Struthio camelus: one gene and its partner. Each later gene encodes a partner of the first gene's protein in a complex. Links are inferred from orthologs where the notes say so. Each region holds a gene or a part of one and is shown in the gene's direction. Other genes may lie near its edges.

The links.
Region 2: the proteins of CCKBR (region 1) and gastrin/cholecystokinin-like peptide are in contact, whole or in part, in a cryo-EM structure (PDB 7XOW), measured with the Homo sapiens proteins. The link is inferred for Struthio camelus from reciprocal best matches to the Homo sapiens genes CCKBR and GAST. Residues at the interface, in NP_795344.1 of Homo sapiens: Cys107, Pro114, Asn115, Gly118, Thr119, Phe120, Met134, Gly135, Val138, Tyr189, Gln204, Cys205, His207, Leu222, Val349, Tyr350, Ala352, Asn353, Arg356, Pro361, Ala363, His364, Leu367, Ser368, Ile372, His376, Tyr380; in NP_000796.1 of Homo sapiens: Glu85, Ala86, Tyr87, Gly88, Trp89, Met90, Asp91, Phe92.

What each region holds. Positions count from the first base shown.
Region 1 is NC_090942.1:225,048,881-225,055,560, forward strand, and holds the start of CCKBR (gastrin/cholecystokinin type B receptor), read left to right. Parts: upstream 1-2,427; 5' UTR 2,428-2,463; coding exon 2,464-2,632; intron 2,633-6,510; coding exon 6,511-6,680. Other genes in the region: CNGA4 (cyclic nucleotide-gated channel alpha-4), read left to right, coding at 80-133. UniProt on the Homo sapiens protein: Receptor for gastrin and cholecystokinin. The CCK-B receptors occur throughout the central nervous system where they modulate anxiety, analgesia, arousal, and neuroleptic activity.
Region 2 is NC_090966.1:7,282,146-7,288,019, forward strand, and holds gastrin/cholecystokinin-like peptide, read left to right. Parts: upstream 1-3,099; 5' UTR 3,100-3,115; intron 3,116-3,551; 5' UTR 3,552-3,553; coding exon 3,554-3,734; intron 3,735-3,812; coding exon 3,813-3,943; 3' UTR 3,944-4,015; downstream 4,016-5,874. Other genes in the region: HAP1 (huntingtin-associated protein 1), read right to left, coding at 4,969-5,329. UniProt on the Homo sapiens protein: Gastrin stimulates the stomach mucosa to produce and secrete hydrochloric acid and the pancreas to secrete its digestive enzymes. It also stimulates smooth muscle contraction and increases blood circulation and water secretion in the stomach and intestine.

The sequences.
Region 1 (6,680 bases):
GTCTTGCTGGGGGACGGGGCTCCGCGGGGGTGCAGGGCATGCGGGGCACAGCCACCCGGCGCTGAGGGTTAACCGGCAGCAACTCCTCGTCCGGGTGCAGTGTGAGGAACCGGTGACCATGGTTGCTAGGTAACATTGACAGTAGTTGCTAGGTAGCAATGACAGCAGTTGCTAAGTAACAATGACAACAACTGCCAAGTAACAGTGACCAAGTTCTATGTAACATTGACAATAGGTGCTAGGTAACAATGACAACAGCTGGTAACTAACAGTAACAATAGTTGCTGCGTAACTGTTAGAACTTGCTGGGGAACAATAAAGACAGTTGCTACCGGAGAACAACAATAGCTGCAGGAACAGGTCCACGGGCCGGGCAGGGACAGGGGAAGGAGCAGGGGCAGGGACAAGGACAGGGACAGGGACAGGGATAGGGGCAGGGGCAGGGACAGGGCAGGGGCAGGGATAGGAGCAGGGATGGGGATAGGGATGGGGCAGGGATAGGAGCAGGGACAGGAACAGGGATAGGAGAGGGATGGGGCAGGGAGAGGGGCAGGGACAGGGTTAGGGATAGGGGCAGGGTGAGGGAAAGGCAGGACAAAGGCAGGGGCAGGAATAGGGACAAGGATAAGGATGGGGCAGGGCTTGGGGCTGGCGTAAGGGCAGGGATAAGGACACGGACAAGGGCAGGGGCTGGAGGCAGGGCTAAAGGATGGGGATTGGGGCAGAAATGGGGCAGGGAGAGGGACGGAGCAGGGCAGGGACAAGGACAAGGATGGGGCAGGGATGGGGAAGGGACAGGGAGAGGGACAGGGACAGGGATAGGAACAGAGATGGGGCAGGGTAGGGACAGGAACAGGGCTAGAGGCAGGGCTAAAAGATAGGGATTGGGGCAGGGAGGGGGACAGGGATAGACGGGGCAGGGATAGGGGAAGGGGCAGGGATGGGGCAGGGGTGGGGACCGGGCAGGGCTATCGGGGGGGCTCACCCGGGGCACCGGGAGGGCGAGCGGGGCTCCAGCGGGCCGAGCCCGGCTCCGGACCGAGCAACCGCCCTCGGGCTGCTGCGGGCCGCCGGGCCGGGAGAGCCGGTCGCGCCGGGGCTGCTCGGCCCCGGCCCCGGCACCGCCCGCCCCACGGCCGGCGGGCGGGCGGGACACGCGCGGCACCGCCGGGGCTCCAGCCCACGAACGCGCGTGTCCGTGGCCTCGCGGCTGGGAGCGGCCGCAGCCGCTGCCGCGGGGGGGGCGGCGGCACCGCGGGGGGCGGGGGCGGCAGGGGGCCGGGGGCACCGCGGGGGGCGCGGAGGGACCGCGGGGGGCCGGGTGCACCGCTGGGGGGGGCAAGGGGGGCGCGGGGGCGGCGGGGGGGCCGGGGGCACCGCGGGGGGAAAGGGGGGGCAAGGGGGCAAGGGGGCACCGCGGGGGGCGCGGAGGGACCGCGGGGGGCCGGGGGCACCGCGGGGGGCGCGGGCGGCGCTGCCCAGCCGGGTCCGGGAGGCTCCCGCGCCGCCTCCCGCAGCCGCCCCGGCCCGGTGCCGGTGCCGGTGCCGGTGCCGGTCGCCGCTGCATCTGCTCCCCGGACCCGGCAGCGCCGGGACCCTGCGCCGCCGGGTGCCTGCTCCGCGCCGCGCTGCACCCCCGAGCCCCCCCGCGCTCTGCATCGGCATTGTCCCCTCCGCCCCCTGCATCCCCGCAAGTCCCCCCTTACCCCCTTACCGCCCCCCCCAAATGCCCCTGCACCCCCTCTGCCTCTGCAGCATCCCACCGCCCCTCCGTCCCCCCAAATGCCCCCTCCACCCCCGATGCCCCTGCAGCATCCCACCGTCCCCCCTTCCCCCAAATACACCCTCCACCCACACTGCCCTGCATCGTCCTACTGCCCCCCGTCCCCCCAAATGCCCCCTCCACCCCCGATGCCCCTGCAGCATCCCACCGTCCCCTCCTTCACCCCAAACGTCCCCTGCACCCCCGATGCCCCTGCAGCATCCCACCGTCCCCCCTTCCCCCAAATACACCCTCCACCAACACTGCCCCTGCATCGTCCTACTGCCCCCCGTCCCCCCAAACGCCCCCTGCACCCCCGCTGCCCCTGCAGCATCCCACCGCCCCCCGTCCCCCCAAACGCCCCCTCCACCCCCGATGCCCCTGCAGCATCCCACCGCCCCCCGTCCCCCCAAACGCCCCCTGCGCCCCCGCTGCCCCATCCCGCGCGGCCCCTCCACCCCTCGGTCCCCCGGGCCTCCCCCGCCGCCCCCGCCCGCTCCCGCTGCCCGCCCGCTCCCCCGCCCCGGCCGCCGCTGGCGCCGCCCCCGCTCACTCGCTCGGCGGCTCCGGAGCGAGCGGGGCCGCGCGTCCCCGCTGCCGCCGCTGCCGCCGCTGCCGCAGCCGCTGCCGCAGCCGGTGCCGGTGCCGGTGCCGCCGCCCGCGGCAGCGCGATGGGCGCGGGGCGGCCCTGAGGCGGCGCCATGGACCCGCGGCGCCTCAACGACTCGCTGCAGGAGCTGCTCTGCCGCCCCGGCCCCGGCCCCGGCCCCGGCAACGCCACCGGCAACGCCACCGGCGCCGGCAACGCCTGGAACGGCTCCGCCTGCGACCTCCTCCGCAGGGGCCTCCGCGGGCCCCCCGCGCCCAAAGGTGAGCCGGGACGGGGCGGGACGGGACGGGACGGGACGGGACGGGACGGGACGGGACCGGACAGGACCGGACCGGACGGGACCGGACGGGACCGGACAGCCCCCGGCTGGACACGGCTCCCGGCGCTGCGCCCGAGCCTCCCGGTGCGCCCCGTCCGCCTGCCCGGTGCACCCTCCGTGCGCCCCACCGCCTGCCCGGTGCACCCCCCGTGCGCCCCACTGCCTGCCCGGTGCACCCTCCGTGCGCCCCGTCCGCCTGCCCGGTGCACCCCCCGTGCGCCCCACTGCCTGCCCGGTGCACCCCCCGTGCGCCCCGTCCGCCTGCCCGGTGCACCCTCCGTGCGCCCCACCGCCTGCCCGGTGCACCCTCCGTGCGCCCCGTCCGCCTGCCCGGTGCACCCTCTGTGCGCTCCACTGCCTGCCCGGTGCACCCCCCGTGCGCCCCGTCCGCCTGCCCGGTGCACCCCCCTGTGCGCCCCACTGCCTGCCCGGTGCACCCTCCGTGTGCCCTGTCCGTGTGCCCCGTCTGCCTGCCCGGTGCACCCCCCGTGCGCCCCACTGCCTGCCCGGTGCACCCTCCGTGCACCCCGTCTGCCTGCCCGGTGCACCCTTCCGTGCGCCCCATCCGCCTGCCCAGTGCACCCTCCGTGCGCCCCGTCCGCCTGCCCAGTGCACCCCCCGTGCGCCCCGTCCGCCTGCCCGGTGCACCCCCCGTGCGCTCCACTGCCTGCCCGGTGCACCCTCCATGCGCCCCGTCCGCCTGCCTGGTGCACCCTTCCGTGCACCCTGTCCGCCTGCCCGGTGCACCCCCCGTGCGCCCCACTGCCTGCCCGGTGCACCCTCCGTGCGCCCCATCTGCCTGCCCAGTGCACCCCCCGTGCGCCCCGTCCGCCTGCCCAGTGCACCCCACGTGCGTCCCACTGCCTGCCCGGTGCACCCCCCGTGTGCCCCGTCCGCCTGCCCAGTGCACCCTTCCGTGCGCCCCATCCGCCTGCCCAGTGCACCCCCCGTGCGCCCCGTCCGCCTGCCCGGTGCACCCCCCGTGCACCCCACTGCCTGCCCGGTGCACCCCCCGTGCGCCCCGTCCGCCTGCCTGGTGCACCCTCCGTGCGCCCCACCGCCTGCCTGGTGCACCCCCCATGCACCCCGTCCGCCTGCCCGGTGCACCCTCCGTGCGCCCCGTCCGCCTGCCCGGTGCACCCCCCGTGTGCCCCACTGCCTGCCCGGTGCACCCCCCGTGCGCCCCGTCCGCCTGCCCGGTGCACCCCCCGTGTGCCCCACTGCCTGCCCGGTGCACCCCCCGTGCGCCCCACTGCCTGCCCGGTGCACCCCCCTGTGCGCCCCGTCCGCCTGCCCGGTGCACCCCCCGTGCGCCCCACTGCCTGCCCGGTGCACCCCCCGTGCGCCCTGTCCGCCTGCCCGGTGCACCCCCCATGCACCCCGTCCGCCTGCCTGGTGCACCCTTCCGTGCGCCCCGTCCGCCTGCCCGGTGCACCCCCCGTGCGTCCCACTGCCTGCCCGGTGCACCCCCCGTGCGCCCCGTCCGCCTGCCCGGTGCACCCCCCGTGCGCCCCACTGCCTGCCCAGTGCACCCCCCGTGCGCCCCGTCCGCCTGCCCGGTGCACCCCCCCGTGCGCCCCGTCCGCCTGCCCGGTGCACCCCCCATGCACCCCGTCCGCCTGCCTGGTGCACCCTTCCGTGCGCCCCGTCCGCCTGCCCGGTGCACCCCCCGTGCGCCCCGTCCGCCTGCCCGGTGCACCCTTCCGTGCTCCCCCTCCGCCTGCCCAGTGTACCCCCCGTGCGCCCCGTCCGCCTGCCTGGTGCACCCTTCCGTGCACCCCGTCCGCCTGCCCGGTGCACCCCCCGTGCGCTCCACTGCCTGCCCGGTGCACCCCCCTGTGCGCCCCATTGCCTGCCCGGTGCACCCTCCGTGCGCCCCGTCTGCTTGCCTCATGCACCCCCCTGTGCACCCCAGTCTGTGCTCCGTCCACCTGCATGGTGCCCCCTCCTGCACACCGTGCCACACGCTCCACTGCGCACTCTGCCGTGCGTCCCATCCACCTGCCTGGAGCACCCCCCGTGCACCCCACACCTCCCAATGTGCTGCCCACCTGCCTGGTTCACCCCACCATACACCTCCTGTGCACTCTGCTGTGCACCGTGTCCACCCGCCCGGTGCACCCCAGTGCGCCCCCCTGTGTCCTGTCTGCCTCCCCAAAGCAGCTCCGTTCATCCCACCGTGCACACGGTGCACCCCATGCTCCTGCCTCCACGCAGCCCGGAGCATCCCACAGTGCCCCATCCCTGCTGCATCTGGGTCTGGTTTGTCACACCAGCTGGTGCCCACAGCACAGTCCCAGGTCCCAGTCACTGGCCCGGGGGGGCTGCGTGCCCAAGCGGCACCAGACTGCAGGACAGCAGGACCCCCTACCCCGCACGGCACCACCCGGCTCTGCGGCTCCACAGCTCCACGCCTCGGGGCTCTGCGGCTCCACAGCTCGGAGCTCTGCGGCTTGGGGGCTCCACGGCTCGGAGCTCCGCAGCTCCATGGCTCCATGGTTCCACTGCTCGGAGCTCCGCGGCTTGGGGGCTCCACAGCTCCACTGCTCGGAGCTCCGCGGCTTGGGGGCTCCACAGCTCCACTGCTCGGAGCTCCGCGGCTTGGGGGCTCCACAGCTCCACTGCTCGGAGCTCCGCGGCTTGGGGGCTCCACAGCTCCACTGCTCGGAGCTCCGCGGCTTGGGGGCTCCACAGCTCCACTGCTCGGAGCTCCGCGGCTTGGGGGCTCCACAGCTCCACTGCTCGGAGCTCCGCGGCTTGGGGGCTCCACAGCTCCACTGCTCGGAGCTCTGCGGCTTGGGGGCTCCACAGCTCCACTGCTCGGAGCTCTGCGGCTTGGGGGCTCCACAGCTCCACTGCTTGGAGCTCTGCGGCTTGGGGGCTCCAGGGCTCCACTGCTCAGAGCTCTGCGGCTTGGGGGCTCCACAGCTCCACTGCTCGGAGCTCTGCAGCTCCATGGCTCCACGGTTCCACTGCTCGGAGCTCTGCGGCTTGGGGGCTCCACAGCTTCACTGCTCGGAGCTCTGCAGCTTGGGGGCTCCACAGCTCAGAGCTCTGCAGCTCGGGGGCTCCACAGCTGGAAGCTTTGCGGCTCACGGGCTCCATGGCTCCAGGGCTCCACTGCTCAGAGCTCCACAGCTCGGGGGCTCCACAGCTGGAAGCTTCGCAGCTCAGGGGCTCCAGGGCTCCACTGCTCAGAGCTCCACAGCTTGGGGGCTCCACATCTGGGAGCTCCGCAGTTCAGGGGCTCCGCAGCTCCACAGCCTGGGAGCTCTGTGGCTCAGGGACTCCGCAGCTTGGGCGCTCTGTGACCCTGTAGCTCAGGGGCTCCACGGCTCCACAGCTCCATCGCTTGGGGGCTCCACAGCTCGGGGGCACCGAGGTTCTGTGGCTCAGGGGCTCCCCAGCTCCACGGCTCACGGGCTCCGTGGCTCGGGGGCTCCACGGCTCGGGGGCTCTGCAGCTCAGGGGCACCGAGGCTCCCCTGCTCCAGGGCTCCCCAGCTCCATGACTCAGGGGCTCCACAGCTCAGAGGCTCCACGGCTCGGGGGCTCTGCAGCTCAGGGGTTCCTCAGCTCGGGGGCACCACAGCTCCCTGGCTCCGTGGCTCTGCAGGAGAGTCCTGCTGCGCCGGGGGAAGACGCCGTGGGGCATCCTGCTGGAATCCATCACGCCGAAGGGAGCCCAGGCGTCCTGGTGCCCGCTCCCCGCGTGCCTGCCAGGCGCTCGGAGAGCCGGCAGGAGCCCAGGCGCCCCCGGGCAGGCTGCGGGGCGCGCGGGGGCACCCGTGGCGCGCGCGTGACCGCTGCCACCCCGCAGACCTGGACCTGACGGTGCGCGTCCTGCTGTACGCGCTGATCTTTGTGCTGAGCGTGTGCGGGAACGCCCTGGTCGTGGCCGTGCTGCTCCTGAACCGCCGCCTGCGCACCGTCACCAACTCCTTCCTGCTGTCCCTGGCCCTCAGCGACCTCATGCTGGCCCTGTGCTGC
Region 2 (5,874 bases), on another chromosome or scaffold:
CAGTTAGGCGCGGCAGCACCCATGGCCTTGCGGGTGGGCTGGGAGGAAGGATCTGGCCCAGGCGCTCGTGGGCCATGCTGCAAACCTGCGTCAAGGGGCTGCCGAGCAGCGGTGCCGAAGGAAGCGACGGCCGCGCACCCATCGCCCTGGAGGCTCGTTTGGGCAAGAGTGAAGCATTAAAAGCGAGAAATTGCAAAACAATTTGTTTGTTCCCTGCAGAGCGCTCTCCAGCGCGAGCAATCGATTGCTGCGGCGCACTGCGCCCTTCCTGCCCATTGAAAGCCCATTTATTTTGGGTTTATTTAAAGAGCGGGCATATTGGCCCGCGCAGAGGGGGGCTGTGGGCAGCCACGGCGAGCACACCGGGCGCCGCAGCCGAGCACCGGCCCTTATCACGCTGAAAGAGGGAGCCAAACGGGCTCTGCAAATACACCGGGATGAGGGTAAATATGGGCACGAGGACGTGTCAATGCTGGAAGGGCCATATCGGTGCTGGCAGATGGGGCTTGGCCGGGGTTGGGGGGGGGGGCAGGTCTCACTCAGGGGATGGGTCACTGACATTAGTTGCCCCGGGGGTGGGGGGGCGGAATGCACAGACACCAACATCTATGTGTGCATATACATGCACATGCCCTTGCATACACATGTGTATAGGGCCATATGTATTTATACACGTGTGTATACACACACACACACACACACATATATGTATGTAGATTACATATAGAGATAATATTAAAAAAAAAAAAAAAAACCTTAGCATGCATGTACCTATATCTGTTTGTGTACATAGGCACTTTTTTAATAATCCTTCAGTATATCCCCCACACAGAGCGCATCATGTGTACACTGACACACACATATGCATGCATAAATGTAGAAAATACATGGTTATAGCACTACAGACAGAGGCACATCTAGACACACACACACACACACACACACACACACACACACACACACACACACACACACACACACACACACACACACACACACACGAGTTGCCTGTACAGCCCCCCCCCCCCCCCGGCCCTGTGTGCATGTGCACCATACACCTTTAGCTATAGCTATCTATACATGCACCTATAGCTGTATACCATAGCACTCTGTGCTTCTATGTATGTATAGCTGTGTACTATATACCTAGAGATAAAATTGTCCATGTGTGGGTATAGCAATAAACACACAGCCTCTGTGTAGTATAAACCTATAGCTAGCTATATATGTGAATGCATCTTTATACATACAGCTGGGGGGGGTCATACTATATAGCTATCTAAATAAGTGCATATCTATCTGGCTATATAGAGCTATCTAGCTCTATATAAACTCTTTATACCTACAGCTCTGTCTGTAAGTATATCTGTATACCTATAAATATAGCCAGCTCTATGTGTGTAGAGCTTTCCCCATACAGCTGTGTGTGTGTGTGTGTGTGTGTGTGTGTGTGTGTGTGTGTGTGTGTGTGTGTGTGTGTGTGTGTGTGTGTGTGTGTGTGTGTAGCGAGAGAGAGCTATAAAATATTAAAAAAAAAAAAAAACTTCATGCCAACAGCTCTGTGTGTATGTATATCTGTATACTATTACCTATAGATATAGCTATTGCACTATGTGTAGCTCTCTCCCTCCACAGCTCTGTGTGTGTGTGTCTGTGTGGTATATACCAAAAGCTAGCTATATATGTGAATATATCTTTATACACACAGCTGTATGTCTTTATAATACAGCGCTATCTATATATGCATATAGGACATCATACACACAGCACTCTGTGTGCATATATCTGTATATATACCTATAGATATAGCTCTGTGTGTGTGTGTGTGTGTGTGTGTCTCTCCCCCCCCCCCCAAGTGTGTGGGGGTTGTGTGTGCTATACACCTTTAGCTATAGCTGTCTATATATGTGCGGGTGCACAGACACACACACAGACACACACACACAGACACACACAGACACACACAGACACACAGACACACACACACACACACAGACACACACAGACACACACGCACACACACACACACACACATATGAGCGCGCCCCCCCCCCCCATAGCCACTGCACTCTACGTTTCTGTGTAGGTATAGTTGTATTCTATATACCTATAGATGCAGCTAGCTCTATGTGTAGATCTCTCTCCCCCCCACAGCTGTGTGTCTGTTTACTATATACCTACGTGAATGCATGTACGTGAATATATCTTTATACGCACAGCTGTGTGTGCGTTTTTATTATATAGCTATCTGTATATGCTTATAGAATGGCATATACACAGCACTCGTGTGTGTGTGCACGCGCGCGCGCGCGTGTGTGCGTGCGCATGTGTGTGCATGTGTGTGTGTGTGTAGCTTTATACCCACAGCTCTGTGTATCTGGCTATAAGCGTGTGTCTGTGTCTCTGAATATATGTGCATGCATATGTGTCTGCAACTATATGAGTTTGCATATACAGATGTGAGTGTGTTTGTGTGCGTGCGTGCATGCGTGTGTCACTATACACACACACACACACAGAGGTATGTTTCTGTTTGTCTATAGGCACATGTGACTCTGCGTGTGTGCATATAGATATGTGTGTGTGTGTGTGTGTGCACATACAGATGTGTATGTGTCTGCATATACATAAATGTGTGTCTGTATATACATGTGTGCTTGTCTGTCTGTGTGTGTGTGTGTGTGTGTCTGTGTGCATAGTCATACATGTGTGTGCTTTGTATGTACATGTGCATGGCCATGTATAATATGCAGGTGTATGTGTCCGTGTGCATACACGTGTATGTGCATATACACGTGTGTGCTAGTCCCTGTGGCTATGAGTGCACGTCTGTGTGTGTGTACATACACACATATGTGCCTGTGCACACACATGCGTGGGCCTCCGTGCGCGCACACCTGCACGTTTCTATACATGCTCGCGCGTGTCCCTGCGCCTACAGCGATGTGCCACCGTGTCCCCCGCGCTGGAGACACATACGTGTGCAGGCGGGTGCGTGGGGCTGCAGCCCCCCCCCCCCTTCCCCCCGGCACCGGGGGGCGGAGCGGGGCGGGCGGCGGCGGCACCTTTAAAGCGGGGCCGGGGCCGGCGGCGGGGCCGCCCGCGGACGCCGCAGGTGAGCGGGGACCGGGACCGGGGGCAGGACCGGGACCGGGGGCAGGACCGGGACCGGGACCGGGGGCAGGACCGGGACCGGGGGCAGGACCGGGACCGGGGACAGGACCGGGACCGGGACCGGGGGCAGGACCGGGACCGGGACCGGGACCGGGGGCAGGACCGGGACCGGGGGCAGGAACGGGAACGGGACCGGGACCGGGGACAGGACCGGGACCGGGGGCAGGACCGGGACCGGGACCGGGGGCAGGAATGGGACCGGGACCGGGACCGGGGGCAGGACCGGGACCGGGGGCAGGACCGGGACCGGGACCGGGGGCAGGAATGGGACCGGGACCGGGACCGGGGGCAGGACCGGGACCGGGACCGGGGGCAGCGGGCGGGCGCCGGTGGGATGCGGGGTCCCGCTCGCCGGGCTGACGGCCGGTGCCCCGCAGCCATGAAGAGGAGGGTGAGCATCGGCCTCGTGCTGGCCGCCGCCGCCGCCTGCCTGGCCCGGCCCGCGGCCGAGGCGCCCCGCTGGCCCCGGGCTGCGCCGCTGCACCACGACCGCGACCGCCCCGCGCCGCCGCCCGAGCAGCAGCACCTCGTCTCGCTGCTGCTGCCGCAGCTCCTGGCAGGTACCGGCCGGCCCGCCCGCCCTGCCGCCCCGGCGGGGCCCCGGGCGGCGCTGAGCTGTCCCCCCCTTGTCCCCGCAGAGCTGAGCAGCCAGCCAGGCTACCTGCACGGCGACGCGGGCGCCGAGGCCCTGCACGACCACTACTACTACTACCCCGACTGGATGGACTTTGGCCGCCGCAGCGCCGAAGACTCGGCCAGCGGCTCCTAGCCGCTGGGCTGGCCCGCAGAGCACGAGCACGCTCGCTGCATGCTTCGCCCTGCAATAAAGCTTTGGCACTACAGCCCCGCTGCTTGCTATATATATCTATATAGGCTTTTTCCCAGGAAAAGCTGGGGGAGATTGCGTGCCCAGCCTGCCCCAGGTCCACAGGCAGGACGGGGGGAGCAGCAGGGCCAGGGCTGAGTACGCCCAGCCCCAGCGCGGGGCCACCCATCCTGCTGGGAAATCCCAGCCCACCCCAGAGAGCAGAGCCGGCCGGGACTGGCAGGATTCACCCCCCTGAGCCCTGCCGGGAAGCACCAAGCAGGGACCTGGCAGGATTCACCCCCCCGAGCCCCGCCGGGAAGCACCAAGCAGGGACCTGGCAGGATTCACCCCCCCAGCCCCACCGGGAAGCAGCAGGCAGGGACCCGACAGGAAAGGCCGAGCGGCTGCAAACACGGCACACGGGAGCTGCTTCACGGCGGCGTCACCTTTATTGGCCAGGGCTGAGCCTGGGGCGAGGGCTGCGCCGGCAGCGGCAAACCCGCGGGCGGGCGGCAGCCAAGGGGAGAGGAGTGCGGGCCCAAGCAGGGGAGGCTTTCCGTCCTGCTTCTGCTTACTGGCAGAAAAAGTTGTAAAAAGCTCAAAAACTTTCTTTAAGATACAGTCCTGGTGCTGCTCTAGGTCCCAGCCGTGGTGGAAGGCCGTCTCACCCCCCCCCCCCCGAGTCTGGCTGCGGAGCGGGGGCCGCTGCCCCCCACAGCACCGGGAACAGTCCTTATTGCTAGCGGCAGGCTCCCGCAACCAGCCCGCAGCAGCCCCCGCTGCTACGGGGCACAAGCCGGGCTGCTTTCCCTGAGAAAAAGCGCAGGCGCTGGGCTGTGAGGAGCATCCGTGGCCAGCCGCGTCCTCGCAGCCCCGAGCGGCTGCGGGAGCAGAGGCTGGTGCACCGGCCCCGGCCCGTTCCCAGCTGGATGGAGGTGAAGAGGAGGGAGCGGGGGCGCAGGCCACATCCCATCCCGAGCTTGCTGTCACGTCAGACCGTCCCCGGGCCTCCCGTGCACGTAGGACATCTCCCCTCTGGCCACCACTTTGTCCAGCCCCAGGCGCCGCAGCTTCTCCACCAAGTTCAAGCTGAAGATGCTGCTCCGCAGTGGGGGCCGGTCCTGCTGCGGGGAGCCCGGCGCGTGGTCCTGGGGGGGCTGCGCCAGGGCCGACGGGGATGTGACCCCTTGGCTCCAGCTGCCCGGCACCGAGGCGGAGATGCCCCGCGCCTGCAGCAGCAGGACGAGTCCCAGCGAGGGGCCTGGCTGCAGCTGGTGGTGCGACGGCTCCGGCGGGGGGCTCAGCCTCGCAAAGGGCCCACAAGAAGGCACGACTGTGTTATACAGGCTGGAGGGAAGAGAGAGCAAAGGGGGGGTCAGCACAGCCCAGCACCACGGAGGGATGCTGCTGCTGCTGGAGGTGGCCGGGTCCTTGGGCACCCCCAAGCTCACGGTGGAACGGGGCAGCAGTGATATGGGCACATTGAGGGGTGCAGTTGTGGGGGTGCTTCATGCTTGTGCAGTGGGGACAGGCTACAGTCGCTGCCCCGTAGGTGTTGTGCACCTGTGCAACACCTAAGGCCACACAGCAGACTCCCGCTCACCCCGTCCCCTCCCCAAGCCCTCAAGGGCTCATTCAGGCTAAAGCAACGGCACCGGTTAATGAAGGAGCCCTGTTTCCTTGCTCGGCTCAGGTGGTCAGGCAGGTCCGATGCCGTGGGAGATGGTTGGAAAGCAGCTGCGAGCAGCCTGCAGGCGCGAGGGCAAACGGGGAGCCCAGCCCGGCTCCTCTCCCCTGCGCCGGTTAAGGCAGGGAGAGGAGGAGGAAGTGAAATCCGCGTCAGCTCCTGGGAAAGGTAACTGCCTGCCCGCACCAGGAGCGAACTCCACTCT